Linked DNA regions of Drosophila melanogaster. The protein of the gene in region 3 interacts with the protein of the main gene of each other region in a biochemical or structural test. Each region holds a gene or a part of one and is shown on either strand. Other genes may lie near its edges.

Region 1 (4,956 bases), 510 kb from region 3:
ACATGCCCGGCAACAATCCGGAGGAGCAAGGGTGTCTGTCGGGGGACGCGGAACGAATCGCACCGGGTTCAGAGCGCGGCTTGCCTTTCATGTTGTTCAACTTTGTACCTGCAGTTTGTTATTGTTTCGCCAATTGCGTGTGTCGAGGGCTTAAACTCAGCTTTGTGCTGCTAGACTCGCCTGAGATTCTAATGGTGGATGAGCCATTTCTGAGCCTTCATTTTAGGAGGAAAACGGTCAAACTCCGATGGTGGAATTCGCACCCTAACAGCTGTTATTGCCTTCTTATCGGCTGCGTGAATTGGTTTCTCTATTGGTCAACTGGGATTACTGACCTTCCCATACAAAGCATGCTGTTGATAACAACTGGGTTATAAATCACGTTCTTGGAATGACTTAGCATGACTAATTTATCCGTTCAATATTTATAATATTTAGGAATAGATCTAACAGCTTCAAAAATGCAGATTAATATATGATATACCACTTCATCATTTCCTCACTTGTAGAATAACCACTATTGAATCCACAGCTAAAACTGCATTTTTAACGTTCATATTTTCATAGTCGTTGGCTAACATGTTACAGTTTACAGTCTTGGCCTAATACTTTGTTGTGAACGTAATATATCAATCTGTATGAACGGAAGTTATTTCTCCACTTCGACTGGACTCAGGTGGCAATAGCCAGTGTATCGGCAGGCACTCACTTGGCAGCAATGTGATAAAGTCCCGCTGGAGCATCGGCTTGAGATAGGCATTGATCTGTCCGTGTTGATAGTGGCACATGCGCGACAGCAGGTGCTCCACAAAGTCCACCTGGCCCGACTCGCTCCACTGGGTGAAGTACTGAAAGCAGAGTTCCCGCTCCGTTTGGTAGGTGGGCGATGAGTCTTTCTTGCGCACCGGGTCGTACAGCATAGTGGTTGTGAACTGTATGGGTGAAAAGTGGCATAAAGAAGCAAATTAATTATGAGATTGCATTTGTTTCGTTTTTGTTGTTGTTGTTGTTGTTGTGGGGCGACGATGATGTGTTATGGGGTGCTTCGATGTCAAGGGGCGATCGTTAAAACTGGAAAAGTAGGTAGCTGCTGGTTGTGCAACTTTTCTTTAGTTTAGGCTACCGACGACCCAAACTGGGGGCTTAAAATTAGGCAATTAGCTTCGACTACGCTGAGCGTTTCTTTCTATTCGTAATTTTTCTCATTTTTTTTTTATTCGGCGGCGAAAGAGTTTGCAAAGCGGATTTCTGAAGAATGAAAAACGCGACTGGCAGCGCAGCGGTAGAAACAGATCATTCACACGGCCAGTTTATAAATAATAATTGTATCGATGTTTATTTGGTCTTCCATGCTCATTATGCGCATTCTATATATAGACATACCCATTGATGGGCCCCAATTAAATCAAACGTCATCAATTAAACGCTAAAGATCTCGGCAAACAATTTTATCGGCGTGAAGTAAACAAATTGGTCGATTCGAGTGTGAGTGATTTGAGTAATTAAGTTAACTGCAATGCCAGCAATGCGAAAACCTTGCCAGTATTTGTAGTAAATGTTGTGAATATGTATGTACAAACATACTAAGTTGTATTCGGGTCGGTTGCCTTAATTTAATTGCCGTATTATGGTTTTTGTAAGCTTTAGTTGTTTGCCTTTGCCTGGTAACTTTGAGCTGAAGGATGCTACTTAAACTATGCACTGATTATGCTATGAGAAAGGTTTGTGGCAATAAGCAATATGAATGTATATATCCTCTAATTGATAGTTAATAATATCTCGTTTGTGTTTCGCTGCTATTACCAAGAAGCCATCTGTCTCATTAACCAGATTCCACCTTGAATCCGGCGAAATTAAAGCCCAGATGACTCAAGCGAAACCGAGCGAAAAAATTGAAAATAAAAAACGATTTTTTTGGCCCATTACTCGATGGTTTTACGCGAACTGACCTTCAGTAAGCCGCCTATCGTATATAGCTCCACAATTAAATAAGTACTGATTGAAATGTACACGGCCGTACTTTGTGCACAGCGTTTGTTATTAATTGTGTACACAAACTCGAGGCCAATTAACGAAATCTTAAGACTCGAAAACCGGAGATTGGGGATATATACATATATATGCAACGATAATTGAACAAAGGGGATGATGATGATGATGCTGGCGATGAATAAGTAGGCTAATGTCTAATATCCACAAGAGTTTAAGGTTATAGCCCATGGGATGGCTATGTGCCACAGTGTCCGAATTTAATAGAGTGCACGAGTGCAAAATCTGTAGTATATACGAAAATAAAGCACTAGCACACGCACACCAGTGTGTGACAACACGCATAGGTGGCGTAGGTGTGCGTGCCCCTGTGTGTGTGTATGTGTGTGGGTCTATTGAGGCGACACCTTGGGCAATATGTACTTAAATCGGTGTGTTTAATGCATTTAGAAGGGCAGAGATCCCGCTTAAAGCAGGTAACTTAGCGAAAACTCACGGCCTGTGCATTGGAGTTGGTTTCGTCCATTATTTTGTCAGTCTCCATTTTCATCATTGTGTTGTTTGTGTGTTTGTAGAGTTTACTGGCTCGTCGTTTGCTTCTCTCTCACTCGCTCACTGCCAGAGTTTTCCGTCGCACTCGCACTCACGCACCACGTAGCGTTTTTCGCTGATTTTTCGTTAACACGTCTCGCAAATCGCTTTTCGCCAGCGATTTCATATAATTTTTAGGTCGAAGGAAAATTACAATTTGCTCGTCTCGGTTTCTGTAGGACCGCAGGCGGGATGCGCGAAAACGGCGAGGCGAACGCGATGGCAAAGGCAAACTCAACTTGCCGAGGTCCCTCACCAATTGAGCGAATGTCGTATGCAAGTCATTATTCTCACCGCTCCTGGCGGCTTGCACGTTGTTTGTTTTTGCTTATTCAGATGACGCCAACTACTGGACACTCACTTTTCACACGGAGAATTTTATTTTTTTTTACCAGATCTCGCCCAAATACGGACTGCGAAACCACAAAGCCAAAGATGAGTGTGCACTATCGTTATCGATATCTGTCACATATATGAACGGTCACACTGCCACGGGCCAGTGCTGCAAAATACGGCAAGAGCACACAATTTCGTCGTTTCTGCTCTAAATTTTCGAACAGGTTGTTGCAATTACAACTATTTATGAAATGTTTTTAAGTTATTTCCCTTTCAGAGCTATGAATTGTAAGCATTGTATGGCTACCCAACACACTTTGCCAGCTCTGACAACTCTGCACATCCATATCAGCTGATTTCTCGATCGCTCTCTCCGTTTTCTGTTGTTATTTAATTGATAAACTTGTTGCGGGGGGCCACTCTCCAGATAACCCCCCACTTTTAAATTAATAAATATTGCGCAAGTAAGTGCCGTCCAGCTCGCCGAATGCTCACTTTCATTCGACCGCAGAGCTGTTCCCATTCTAATCATTTCCTTGAGCATTCATAATCGAGCTACAATACACATTTTTTTTCAAATTCACAGTGCAACTAACTCAAATCCTCAGGATGGCGTGCCAAAACCAAAATGCCGCCAACTTCTTGAGCAATGGCAAGAAAATTGTGGGGGTGGCTCTCAATTACATGTAACTCAGTGTCATAGTAATCTTGGGTCTGCATGGGTAATCCACGAATACTTTCTTCCGTCGCAGGGACGTTGTGCTGGCCAGGAACGTTCCCGTGCCCAAGGAGCCGCTCGTCTTCCTCAAGCCCACATCTTCGTACCTCCAGGAGGGTCAGCCCATTGTGGTGAGTTCTACAGAGAATTAATTAAGATAACATTAAGATAGTAGCAAGATAGCAAAAGTCCATAAACTGGAGAGTAAACGAATGGAAATTGAAAATCCCTCTTGTGATTTAAACTTTGTATTCCCCCAGTTACCAAAAGTCTTTACCAAGGTGGCATATGAAGTGGAACTAGGCGTGGTGATTGGAAAGCCCTGCAAGAACGTATCCAAGGCAGATGCCATGAGCTATGTGGCAGGATACTGCCTGGCTTTGGATCTAACTGCCCAGTGCAATTTGGTAAGAAGATGGATGCACTCAATCAAGAGCCATTGTTGTAATCAATAATCAATTTCAGGGACCAGCTCGGGCGGCCGGTCATCCGTGGACCTTGGGCAAGGGATTTGATACTTCTACGCCCGTGTCCCAGTTTATACCCATCGAAAAAGTGACGGACCCGCACAACTTGCCGCTTTGGCTCACCGTCAATGGAGACCTTAAGCAAAACGGGTGCACTGCAGACTTAATATTCAAGGTGCCCGACATCATTTCCTACGTGTCCAAGTACATGACCCTGGAGGCCAACGATCTGATCCTTACCGGAACGCCCAATGGTGCCGATGCGTTCAAGGCAGGCGATGTAATTCAGTGTGGAATGGCCGATCTCGCTAAATTGACCTTCCAAGTGGAGGCTGAATAAAAGTGAAGAATTTAATTTTGATGCTATATTCGGATATAATTGGATATGTGCAATGGCTATTTCTTCTTATTACTGGCCACATCATCACAGGCAACCAAATATTTCCACATCGCTGTGCAATCGCTGGTGTTTTTCCATTTGCTGGTCGGGCAGTTGATGTAGACCTTTTCCATGACGCAGGCCAGCAAGGTGGCAGGATAGAAGTCGCAGTCGCCCTTCTTGGGCATCCATTGGAACTCCTGCACCCGCTTCCTAGCTATTTAGAATTAACCATTATTAAGTAGAAAAAAACTTTCGTATGCTAACTCACCGTAGTCCGTGCAACTATTGAGGCTCTTCAACATCAGTTGCGACATATTCGGATCGTTTTTGTAGCGTTGCTGATAGCTCTTCTGCAATGCCTGGGTATTAACAGTGCCATTGCTCAACAAGAATCCATTGGTCCTGAAGGAGCACTCCGCAATACACTGAGGATTACACGTTTCCCAAGAGTAAAGCCAGTTTTAAAATGATAT
Region 2 (6,935 bases), on a different chromosome or scaffold from region 3:
AAATATAAATTTTATATTTAGAAATGAAATGCTCTGCATCTTTTAATGCCCTCTGCGACGTGGGAACGCCGCGTCCGAACTTGCAGCGGTTAATTCCCTATGTCGAGCCGCAACAGGACGACGAGGAGGATATGGTAGTGTGGTGCCGGTCAAATCTGGATTTGGCCTGCTCGCTCAGCGAGATGCGCATACGCTGTCCAGAGCACTTCGATGTCGCAACCGTCGTGGGGGTAAATTCGCATACCGGAAAACTAATCACCCACTTTAATCACCGGAAACTGGGGGATGTGGACCTGGCGCCTCACGCGTTGCTTAGCCGGCGAGACAAGTTCATGGACATTTGCCAGAAACAAGTAATGACGAGTCAGGGCTGCTTGGCGTCAGAGGGAACACCAATCCCCGCCGACCTGGAGGTCACTTGGCAGAGTCATAGCATCATTGACTGCCTTGCTCTCCGCAAGGTGCGTGCAGAGATGAATTTAGCTGATCAGAAGGCGGCCAAGAATCTTGTGGATCGCGTTGAGGTGCACCACAAGACTTTGCAGACGGAGGAGGCGGAGCGAAGGAAATTGATTATTGACAAGGCAAATTCTGCGAGGAACTTGACTATTGACAAGGCAAACTCTGCGAGGATCTTGGCTATTGACAAGGCAACCTCCGCTAGGAAATTGACTATTGACAACTCAACCTCCGCGGGGACATTGACTATAGACAAGGCAACCAACGCGAGGAAATTGACTATTGACAAGGGAACCTCCGCGAGGAAATTGACTATTGACAAGGCAACCTCCGCGAGGAAATTGACTATTGACAAGGCAACCTCCGCGAGGAAAATGACTATTGACAAGGCAAAATCCACGAGGAACTTGACCATTGACAATGCAACCTCCGCGAGGAAATTGACTATTGAGAAGGCAACCTCCGCGAGGAAAATGACTATTGACAAGGCAAAATCCACGAGGAACTTGACCATTGACAATGCAACCTCCGCGAGGAAATTGACTATTGAGAAGGCAACCTCCGCGAGACGTTTCTCTAGACCAAAAAGATATGTCAGCGGGTATATTTCCAAAAGAAAATCGATCGGAAAAACGGAGTCTTTGTCGCGCGGTGCATACATCCCCGATCCTGAGCTCAACCGCGCGATAGCCAAGTACGGTGTGTCTGCTAGTCAACCGTTCAAAAGACAGCATTGCCTTGTGCTGGAGAAGCATCCCGACAGAACCCAGATCCCGAACTCCAGAACCAACACCAGTGGCTGTAAGTCCGACGGCTCTTCAACACCCATTTGGAGAAGTGCTAGAACTGGTGCGGATCAGAATACGCAGGCAGAGAGTTCTGACTCTTTCAATTCCTCCAATTCCTTCGAGAGCTCCAGTCTGGCCAGCGATTCTCAAGAAAACCACGAGCTGTCCACGGCGGCAGGTCTGACGGCGGCCTTTATGCGGCGACACATGCTATTCCACCTCCTGGCCAGGAGGTTCAGAAGACGGTATCTACGTTAGCCACGTCGTAGCTCGGGTCGTATGTGCTGCGACAGCAAGTTCTCTAAATTGTATAGTGTATATGTATGTATGTTAGTAGCTGAATCGCGAAGAATTCCCGCGAATTTCCATAAAGTTCAAAGCAGTATTTAAATTTGCGGCTATCGATTACAACTAGCTATATCGCCGATGTGCAATGCTCTTGAACGCTAACCAACACTGTCAGTTTACCGCACACATGCAAATAGCATTGTGCATTGCAAATAAATTATATGTGTACACATATTTTTGTCAATTATTTCGTTCTAATTCATTTTAGGGTCCCCCAATTTAGGTATGTATGCAACACGACATACTGCTTGCAGTCACTGCATAACTCGCCAAGCACTGTAGTAATACCACCCCACCACGTTTAAACTGGCCGAATGCGCGCGTCGGTGTGACCGCATGGCTTTGCTGGCGAAATACCGGCCGCCCAACTAAAAATCCATTAACTTGTATTAACGTGTCAGACTCTGACTATGCAATCGCAATTGCAAAATCTTTAAGTAGTGGCAATAAATTAGTTTTCCTTCTGCACAAGTCCATCCCTAGGGCCACATCGTCCGCGCAGCCCTAGAAGTGGATAGTTCGAACGCGGAGTGGATCACACGCACCTGCCCGCCGCAACTAGTCAAGTTTCCCGCGTTTTCCATGGCGATTAAGTTGTGAAATAGTTATTTTGTTAATGTGTTTTAACCAACAACCGTGGCCGTGGTGTGGTCCTGGCTAATCGCAGCATCCCAGCGCTGTTTGTTCTGTCCCCTCGCCTGCTCTTTTGTTGTGTTCCTCAGAAAAGGGTGTATCGCGAACACACACACACGCGACAAACACTCGCACACAAACACACACGCCCAAATCATTTCGGCGGGAAACTTCATTATTTCTGTAATTAAGTGTAAGCTCTCGCAGTTACATGTCCGCGAGGAGCGCGGCGGCAAGCGCAGCATACACCGGCAGCCACTAGGCGCCAGGCCACTAGACGTAAACAGCGGCGCCAGGCCCGCAACGCCCCGGTTAGCCGGCTAGCTCCAATTCAGGCGCCTCCGTCTCCGATTTCCGACTCCAGGCTGTCGCCAGAAGCAGCGGCCGCCGCTGCAAGCATACGCAATCAGCCGGGACAGAGACATCATTCGCAGACATGAGCGAGCCTGACCCGCAGGAACTGGGAGCTGAGGTGGTCAGCGGATTGGTGGCGACCAGCGACGACCGCCTGGAGATGATCAACGCCGAGTACACGAACCTATGCCGGGATCTAAACATGGATCGGCAGACAGAGCTGCAGGGCTACGAGACGTACTTAGAGGTGTCCCAGAGGTGCTCCATGGAGGTGAGCTTCGAAGTGGCAGCAGTAGCCTCCAACCTAACGTCCTTTCTTTCATTCTTTCTGTGCATTGCCTGCCTAAAAGGGCACAGCCAGCCACTGGATGTGCTGCGCCATTTACACGGCCTGCCGAAGAACCAGCACACCCACGGTGACTGGCCAGAATGCAGTGGTCAAGGGTAATTGTGTGTCCTTAAACAATTTGCTGCGCTGCTGCAAGATGAGGTGGGTTGCCGTTTATGCCTGCAGTTTCACACCTAACCATTTCCACAATCCCCACCCACAGCATCTACGAGTTCAAGACCAAAATTAAGCAGTGGTGCGACATGGCCAACCTGCCTCAGGAGTTTGTCAACGAGATTGAGGATCTGGACCGCAAGTTCAGCATTACATTCATGCTGCACAAGCGTTTCCGCATTATTATGGACATGATCTTCTCGTGCCCGCCCAACGAGAAGAAGCACTCCAAGTACATGTGCGTATATCATCATGTCAGCCTGACCCCGTGTATATAAAAAGCTTCCCTCTTTGGAACAGTTCTCTGCATGGCAACCACGCCCACGGAAAGTGCTCGTACATCAAGCTGGACGACATCTGCTGGCGCCTGTTTCTCTGCGCCAAGAACCAGAAGCCGAGCAACACCGTGGACCTGGTGACATCCTACAATCTGATGATTTGCTGCATAGACCTGATATACAACAATGTGCTGGCCGAGAAGCGCACCGATCTCATCAACCCCAAATTCGAGGGCCTGCCGAGCAACTGGACGGAGCTGGACTTTCGTCACAATCCGCACTGCATTTTGTCCAACTTCTGTGACATGACCGAGGAGGCTAAAGCCATGAAGGCCACCACTTTCCGCCAGATCATGTCGAGCTTCTTTCAGGCTTCGGTAGGAGTGCCGTTTCGGATTTCCATTAAAACAATTAATTTGTTCTATTTTCATTTCGACCAGACCATCTACGGCAACAAGGACACTATGTTAGGCCTATTGGCTAACGAAAACTTCGAGCGCAACCTAAAGTCCCTCAACATCAGCTACGAGCAGTACGTCCTCAGCGTCGGCGAATTCGACGAACGCATTCTGAGTGCCTACGATGCGGGGGAACACACTGCCCTCAACGACCAGTCCCTGCGTCCGCCGGTTACTCCGCTTACCCGCAAGCAAGATCTGCCTGCGCAGCCCGCGATGGCTGGCGATAAATTTGAGCCCGTCCGCAACGCCACTAACAACGTGAAGCAGCTGAGCGCCTTCGGACGGATCACAGAACCCACGGACTTTGTCAAGTGAGTTGCCGGCTGGCCTTGTATTTGGGTTGGGTGTCGAGTGTTCCTAACTATCATTCAAAACCTGTGAGAGAGAAAAGGCTTATCTCTATGTCCAAATGGCTGAAAGTCGTTGGCGTCGTGTAAACAAAACTCATGTTTATTTGATTGCTTTATAAATCGTAGGAAATATCGAATATCGAATTTCGTTAGCCGAAGCACACATCCATAGAAATTTCTGTTGATGTAAGAAGAATCGATTAGATTAAATCCGGGATTGATTTCTATAGCTCATGTTTTGATATCGCCCTGTCTTTATCCAGGCAAGCTGGCGAAGAGGTAATAGCCAAGCTGCTTAGCATCATCGAGGAGATCGAGCAGAAATTCCTCGCCAAGTACCCGTCAACGGAGGCGAAGAGTCGCTTCCAACTAGCGAAGTCCTTCTTCTTCTACCTGCTCGACCAGATCCTGCAGGCGGAAATTCGGAACAAGCCCGACATCGATCTCAAGCGACTGCTGGTGCAGAAGGTCTCCCTGGTCATCTTTAACATCACGCTGATGGCCTGCTGCGTGGAGCTGGTGCTGGAGGCCTACAAAACGGAGCTCAAGTTCCCGTGGGTGCTCGACTGTTTCAGTATTAGCGCGTTCGAGTTCCAAAAGATCATCGAGATCGTGGTGCGGCACGGCTCGCACGAAGGCTGTTTGAACCGGTCGCTGATAAAGCACCTTAACTCCATCGAGGAGACGTGTCTGGAGCGGCTGGCCTGGGCGAGGAACTCGACCGTCTGGGAAATGATCGCCTCCGCCCAACTGCCGTTGCCCACGTGGCTCATGGTTAACCTCGACCGCGCCGCCGGCCCCTTGCAGATATTCCTGCGCAAGGTGTACCTGCTTGGCTGGTTGCGCATCCAGAAGCTGTGCTCGGAGCTGTCACTGTGCGAGAAGACGCCCGAGAGCATCTGGCACATCTTTGAGCACTCGATCACCCACGAGACGGAATTGATGAAGGACCGCCACCTCGATCAAAATATTATGTGTGCAATATATATCTACATAAGAGTGAGTAGCACATCCACATTCTATCTCTGTCCGATTCGCTGGCATACATTTTGAAATGCACATAATCAGATGCATTCGTCCGTGTGCAGCTGAAGACCCACTTATAACATCCATGCAACTCCTTACAACCCGCAGGTAAAGCGAATGGAGGACCCCAAGTTCAGTGACATTATGCGGGCATATCGCAACCAGCCGCAGGCGGTGAACAGCGTCTACCGCGAGGTGTTCATCGACATCAACGAGGACGGGGAGCCAAAGGTGAAGGACATCATTCACTTTTACAACCACACTTACGTGCCGCTGATGCGGCAGTTCGTCATCGACTACCTAAACGTAACTCCGGACGTGAGTGGCCGGGCTTCGGATCTACAGCTCTCCCCGCATCCGAAGGAACGGGCCGCCCAGCCCAAGAAGGTAACCCAGAGCCACTCGCTGTTCGTGTCGCAGATGTCCAAGAACGAGATACAGCAGTCGCCCAACCAGATGGTCTACAGTTTTTGCCGCAGCCCCGCCAAGGTAAATATTTCGGAGTTGCGTCCACCTCCTCAGCTATAACATCGATTAATCCGCTTGCTATACCCGCAGGACCTTCAGGCTATGAACGAAAAGGTACGCGGCGGCAAGCGCATGCTGAGCTTTGGCGACGAGCCCGGACTAGGTACAATGGCAGAGACGAAGCGCTCGAAAATCAGCCAGGTCAAGGCCGTCATGGACGACCCTGAACTGCAGTCAGCCGAGCAGCAGACTGCTGTTACCACGGAAGGTTGCGTAGGGGGCGAAGGAGGAGAACACGAGACATAGACACGGGGCTTATGGGGGCAGACTAGACTTAAGGCAAGAACTAAAAATTCGGCGCAGAAGGCCACACACTGGCCCCTCCGGCGCACGTTCGACTATTTTATGATTGTTTTTTTTTAAATATTAAAACTTAAATTGACATTTTAACTTAATTTCAACAAACTATTTTAGCACATCTTTTAATTTTGCTCAACGCCAGCCAACCATATAATTCATATGCTAACCCAATACTTTGAAATAGTTGTACTAAATACTTGATCACCACACACACACACATCCATCGGTCGCGACTCCCCGCGATTTAAAAATCACTAACAAAAAAACAAATCAAATTAATGCAATCCACATTATATATAAAAGCTTATATACAAATATACTTTTTACAAATTGATGTTAATTGTATTTATTTAAACATTTTCGTAGTCGATCTACGTCGTCGTACAAAGGATGGGATGTTTAAAATCGTAATTTCTCTGGTCGAAATTGCCACCTTTACAAGTTTCAGGCACCAGGCGAACAGAAACAGTAACAGGTGCTAGCTGGCCGCTCAAATTAACTAAAACAGCTGATCCTTTTCAAGATGGCTGCGCCTTACGCTTTTCCAGTCAGCCCATTCGACCAATAGGAAGCCAAAGATGGGGAGAAACCGTTAGTTACTTTATGATGTCTGCCCTATGTGGCAATTTTTGTTTGCCTGGTGTTCAGCCACTGAGAATTCACAAATTTTTGACAAAATTTACGACGGGGCAACATTTTTCGCAGACAACTGTCGGGTCCCAGACACTAGGCCAACAGAATCCCTAGCAAGCTGCAGCTGGCAGCCCTTTCGATCTTTCCAGTTACCAATTGACCAATAGGAAAGCAGCACAACCGTTAATTCGGAACAGAGCGCACACCAGTGATGAGCAGCCGAGTTGTTCTTGATGTTCGTGTCACGAATGAGCAAGATAGGCACGAAAGTCCCT
Region 3 (4,954 bases):
ACGCAATGCGACTTTTGATAGCGCTGCCGCCTCCCCTCCCTTCACCTTTTCACTGCCACTACTCTGCTCTCACGTTCTCCGTGTTAATTTCGAATTAGTATAGCAACAATAACCGGCCGCAAGGTGTAGTGAAGATTGTTAAATTAACGGATCTTTACTCTTTATAACTTAAATTTAGTCTGCCCCCGAATAATAAATATGCCCAATTGCAGACATGAAATCTCAATTCACTAATTAATAAAATATTAGCTAAAATCCCAATTCGAATGCAACTAATGGCTGGTATTTAATTTGCAGCCATAACTGTATTCCTCTGGCATGCCAATTTACCGTTATTAATTATGAAGATCATGCATTTACATGGCTATTAATTATATACGTTGTTATGTATGCAGACTCACGCACACACAGGCATAAGCACAAGCACACGAAAACATACATATGTATGTACATGCATGCTCACTAACACCCACACAGATACCAAGAGCTAATAAAAAGTTTCGCTTTCTTTTTGCACATCATTTTGCATGCGCAGTAAAAAGGCAGGGACAAGTGAAATAAATACAAATAAATAATGTGCGAGTGTGCAAGGTGTTAAGCAACAACAATTGCAATAGAGGGAAAAAAGTGAATCAAAAGCCAGAAAAAGAGGAAGAACACGAATTTTGTGTATTAAGCGGCAGTCCAGAGAGAGAAAGAGAGAGTCTCCCACGGTGTGTGTGTGTGTTGGAGGGGGATGCTGCTAGGGAAAAGAGACTGAGAGTAAAAGCCGGCCTGAATCCGAATAACAGCTGTTACTCACAGACACAATCCACATGGAACATCTCTCTTCATCTTTTTGTTGTTGTTGGTCCCATGGATGCTTTTTTCTAGCCGGTTTTATTTTCTCTATCATCTTTATTTCATTTGGTCAATTACACACACTTGGCTTCTTTCTTATGAACCGCAAGGACCGAGACAGAAGGCAGCCACTTAATTGCACACTTACAGAAATGAAATAAGGTAATAGTAATATAAAATAAAACGGCTGTAAGCCTCGCCTTAGCTTTTTTCGTTTGAGAAAGCCAAAAATAATTGCCAACTGGCCAAGTCAAGAAAAAGAGAACGAGTAAAAGAGAAGGCGGCTTTTTGTCCAGGGAGAGGCGCACAAAATGCGTCGCAAAATATTTCGCCCACAGAAAACTGCAAACATAATGAAAGCCCGGGAAAGGAAAAATTATTGCGTGGGTGTGGAATATCAATGCCGGCAAGGAAAGCAGAATGAATTCCAGGGAAGTCCCCTTTGCGTTTCATACACCAAAATTTTGTACATAATGTACAAAACTTCATTTCGCCTGGCCATTTACGCGATGACGCATTTAGAGCCAATCGAATATTGTGTACTCACAAGGCCTGATAACAGGGGCCACACATAATGTACACACTATGTGGTGCAGTCGTCAAGTACATGCACAGATTAAAGCGGAAAACTGTTGATGCAAGTCCAATTAACCCGACGAAACTGGTAGAAGTAACCGGCAAATTCAAGACCACAGAAAATATTAAAGAGACAAATGATCTGAGATTTTAAAACATTTAGATCACTTTAATTTGTAAAACAAACACATTACCTAATTATTACATGTCTATTGAACATTTCAGTTGATATTTATGACTGCAGTGCAGCTTTAATTTTGCATTCCTCAGTATCCACGTCAACACAAAAACGCCAGTTAGTTGGCTAATATTGTGCTGGACGGTTTTACACAATTAATTTTAACTTGAAATGTATTTTTGTCCATATCTTCGAAGAAAAACCACGAGTTCTTCAAACTGTTACCTGCACTGTTGTCTTAACATCTAGTAAAATGTTAATCTGGGGGGCGCCATAAAGAAATCGCCGCCGACTTTGGGCAAATAGAAATAAAAACTGATGGACTCCGAATTTTCGATTCGTTATCTCTGAAAACTGGAGCGTTGGGGGATTGAATGAGTGAGCGAATGACTGCTATTCACCGTATCGGTTTTGGAGGTTATTAGAGGGCTTAGCCCAAAATTGAATGATTAATTGATCATCAAAGGTGAGGTGGAAACTCCCTTTGCTTCTTTTTTTTTGTCTTGTTTGAATACGCACCTAAAAATGGAATTTTTGTTGGTTTTACTTGCTTTCTATATATCACACGCAACCACAACAAATTGCTCTGCTTTTTTTTCCACCGCCGCCTGCTTCTTCTTGCTCTTTTTGAATATCACACACGTTTCATATTTGCAAATTTTTCATTTTTTTGCGGGCGTTTTGCCTTTTCTGTCGGTTACTTTTTGTATTCCACGTATAATGTGCTGCTGCTTCTTACTCGTTTGACTCAGTCTGTGTGTGTGCGAGTGTGAGTACGTCGGTGGTGTGGGAACTTTTAACTTTACTACGCGACGTTTTCGTTTCTCTTCTTTATTCTCTATATATTCTACGATTCTGTGCGTGACGTCAGCAGTTCGAGCATTTGTTGTAGATATCACATAATTGTTACACGCCCGCACTTTTATTTTATTTTATTCTTGATTTTTTAGAGCATTTGCTATTGCTACTCAGCGACTTGAATCTTTTACTTGCAGAGGCAGTCTTTTGCGGCTTTTTGGTTTTTCTCTCAGTTTTCCATTTTCACATTTTTGCGGACTGGCGACGAAAAGCGAACTGAACTTGGGCCACAAAGTGTGTTGTGCCGTGTCTTTTTTGGAGTCGCCGTCGCCGGCAAAACGCAATCCACACGCGGAGAAAGAGAATCGGAGAGACACGAGATAGAGAGAGAGAGCGAGAGAGGGAGTCGTCTTACGTCAGACGGAGAAAACGTAAGCACCACCGTAATGGCACTTTTAATACCGGCCACTTACGCTTAATTAGTGTATTAAACCACATTAACTTATCAATACCTCAGTCTTGTACTCTTTTCAGTTAGCTTTTCTATTTTTTTTCGGATTTTTCCGTCGATTTTCCCCTCGTAACGTGTTTTCTGCTCGCACATGTGTGTGGGGGCGGCAGCGGCAACAGCAGCGTCACGACGCGACAACAACACTGAACGCGGCGAATCGACAGAACAAGCAACGAGCCACAAAACGCACGGCGTCTCTTGTAGCGGCGAATTTGAGGCGTCAGCAGCTGAGCGCTCGCGGCACGAGAGAGTGAGAGCAGAAGAGAGTGGATCGTAAATTGAGTGGAGACAAAACTGATCAAACGATAGCTATTCGATATTACGATAGGTTGTCAATTCAAAAGGGAACGAATATTTTGGGTTATTAATATTTTGCAATGAATAAATACATTTGAGTGTTAAAAGAAAAATATAATTATTTATAAGCGAAGTTAAATACCTATAACAGCGCTGTTAATCACTTCCTGAATTGTTTTTTAAATGCTACATTATTTTACCTAATATCAGCTTTTAATTAAATCTTTGGTCCAAGTTTTATTTGAAGTTTTTAATTTTAAAATTCTGTTGATATAAAAACTAATGCTTGAAGCTAAGAGAACCACGCTAATTGCAGCGAATTAGCGGCAACAGCTGAGCACGAGAGAGAACGAATGTGGAGAAGGGGGCGGAAAGCGAAAGCGCAAGAGGGTGGAATGTGAGTGGCGCCGCTTCCTACTCTTCACATGTGGCATGTGGAAGCCAGACTCGAATGTTCGGTGAGAGCGGCTTTTGCTTTTGGCCCCCAACCCTTTTCGCTCTCTTCGGCTTGCCGGCTACAAATCGGCTAAAAATCGCTCAGACGGAAGTGGCGACGTCGCTGTTACCGCACCCACATCAACAGCGACGCCGGCAGAGAACCTTTCCCCTCCCGCTCAACCAACCGCTTCACCATCTTCTTTATCTTTATCAGTTGTGTGCCAAGTGTTGCATTGCGTTGCAGTGACGACATTGTTGTAGTTGCAGCAGCACAGCAGCGTTGCCGATTTTCAGCGCCCCATCAACAAGGGGTACACTTTTTAAGGCCGGAAATAGGCATTAAATGGGTCTATCGCATAACTCGACACTGTCGCACACAAATCTATTAATTTCTACGTATCATAAAAATTATGCCTGAGATTAAAGCCAAGTATGCTCATCTCACAGCTCACAGCTTAATCATATAATATACCTTAAAGATTTGCAACTTTATAGAGAAAAGTTAGTATTTAATTAAGTAAATACTAACTGAAGTGTAAAAATTCACCTATTTGCTGAGCAACTGACCTGATTAAAGAAACCTGCTCAAACATTTGACTTTCCATTCTTATATTATTTGTTATTCCACTATTAATCTACTTTAGTGCAAAAGCACTTTCTACTAAACAAACAATACTCATACATTCTGGAATAATGCAAAGTTTGTACTCATAAATATCCCAAAATCGCTACCATGTCACTTTTTCTAACAACAATCTGATTAAATATTTACAACTCATGCCCGCTGCCATTTGCATTCCTGGTTTTGTGTGCACAAATGTATCTCGCAAATCAGTACAACTTGCCAGGCGATCTGCGCAGTGTTTCCCATTCCCATAATCCCAAGCCCAGTAACTGAGAAACATCCCCCCCCCCTCCTACCAGAAATGTAATCTCCTTTCCAGTTTTCGATTTCTATTAACTTTTTAGGCAGTTTTTTTTTTTGGATTCGAGGCTGTTATCCTTTGGGTTTCTCTTGGGTGGGTTGCTGAGGCGAGGACACTCACAGATCCGTGAGTGTGATTTTTTTCACATTTCCCATAAGCCAGACCGGCAGACAAGAAGAAGAAGAAGAAGAATGAGAATACGAATATGAAGAAGAGGGGCGAGAATCACCCCTCACGGACGCAGAAAGAGAGGAAGAACTTTGGCCCCTGCGCCTGCCCCTTCCCCCTTCCCATCCCTTGCCCAACACATATGCAATTAGAGTATCTCTATGCTTGATTTTTTTTCAACCATTTTCTGCAAGATGGTTTTTTTTTTTCGCCTACCAGATA

Evidence for each region.
Region 1: the proteins of E2f1 (region 3) and slmb form a complex in vitro, tested with the Drosophila melanogaster proteins (one study listed by BioGRID).
Region 2: the proteins of E2f1 (region 3) and Rbf form a complex in vitro, tested with the Drosophila melanogaster proteins (one study listed by BioGRID).

The regions. Positions count from the first base shown.
Region 1 is NT_033777.3:21,124,453-21,129,408, forward strand, and holds the start of slmb (supernumerary limbs), read right to left. Parts: upstream 3,034-4,956; 5' UTR 2,543-3,033; coding exon 2,486-2,542; intron 933-2,485; coding exon 710-932; intron 1-709. Other genes in the region: CG5793 (uncharacterized protein), read left to right, coding at 3,526-3,602, 3,669-3,765, 3,895-4,041, 4,100-4,441; Obp93a (Odorant-binding protein 93a), read right to left, coding at 4,498-4,697, 4,752-4,908.
Region 2 is NC_004354.4:796,515-803,449, reverse strand, and holds Rbf (Retinoblastoma-family protein), read left to right. Parts: upstream 1-1,970; 5' UTR 1,971-2,664; coding exon 2,665-2,853; intron 2,854-2,932; coding exon 2,933-3,072; intron 3,073-3,133; coding exon 3,134-3,322; intron 3,323-3,384; coding exon 3,385-3,739; intron 3,740-3,802; coding exon 3,803-4,134; intron 4,135-4,436; coding exon 4,437-5,172; intron 5,173-5,307; coding exon 5,308-5,688; intron 5,689-5,757; coding exon 5,758-5,973; 3' UTR 5,974-6,360; downstream 6,361-6,935. Other genes in the region: CG13359 (uncharacterized protein), read left to right, coding at 24-1,505.
Region 3 is NT_033777.3:21,630,020-21,634,973, forward strand, and holds the start of E2f1 (E2F transcription factor 1), read right to left. Parts: upstream 3,055-4,954; 5' UTR 2,905-3,054; exon of another isoform or gene 2,114-2,904; intron 1-2,113. UniProt on the Drosophila melanogaster protein: Transcriptional activator that binds to E2f sites. Required for wild-type growth in mitotic and polytene tissues, Contributes to the expression of replication genes at the G1-S transition and Cyclin E.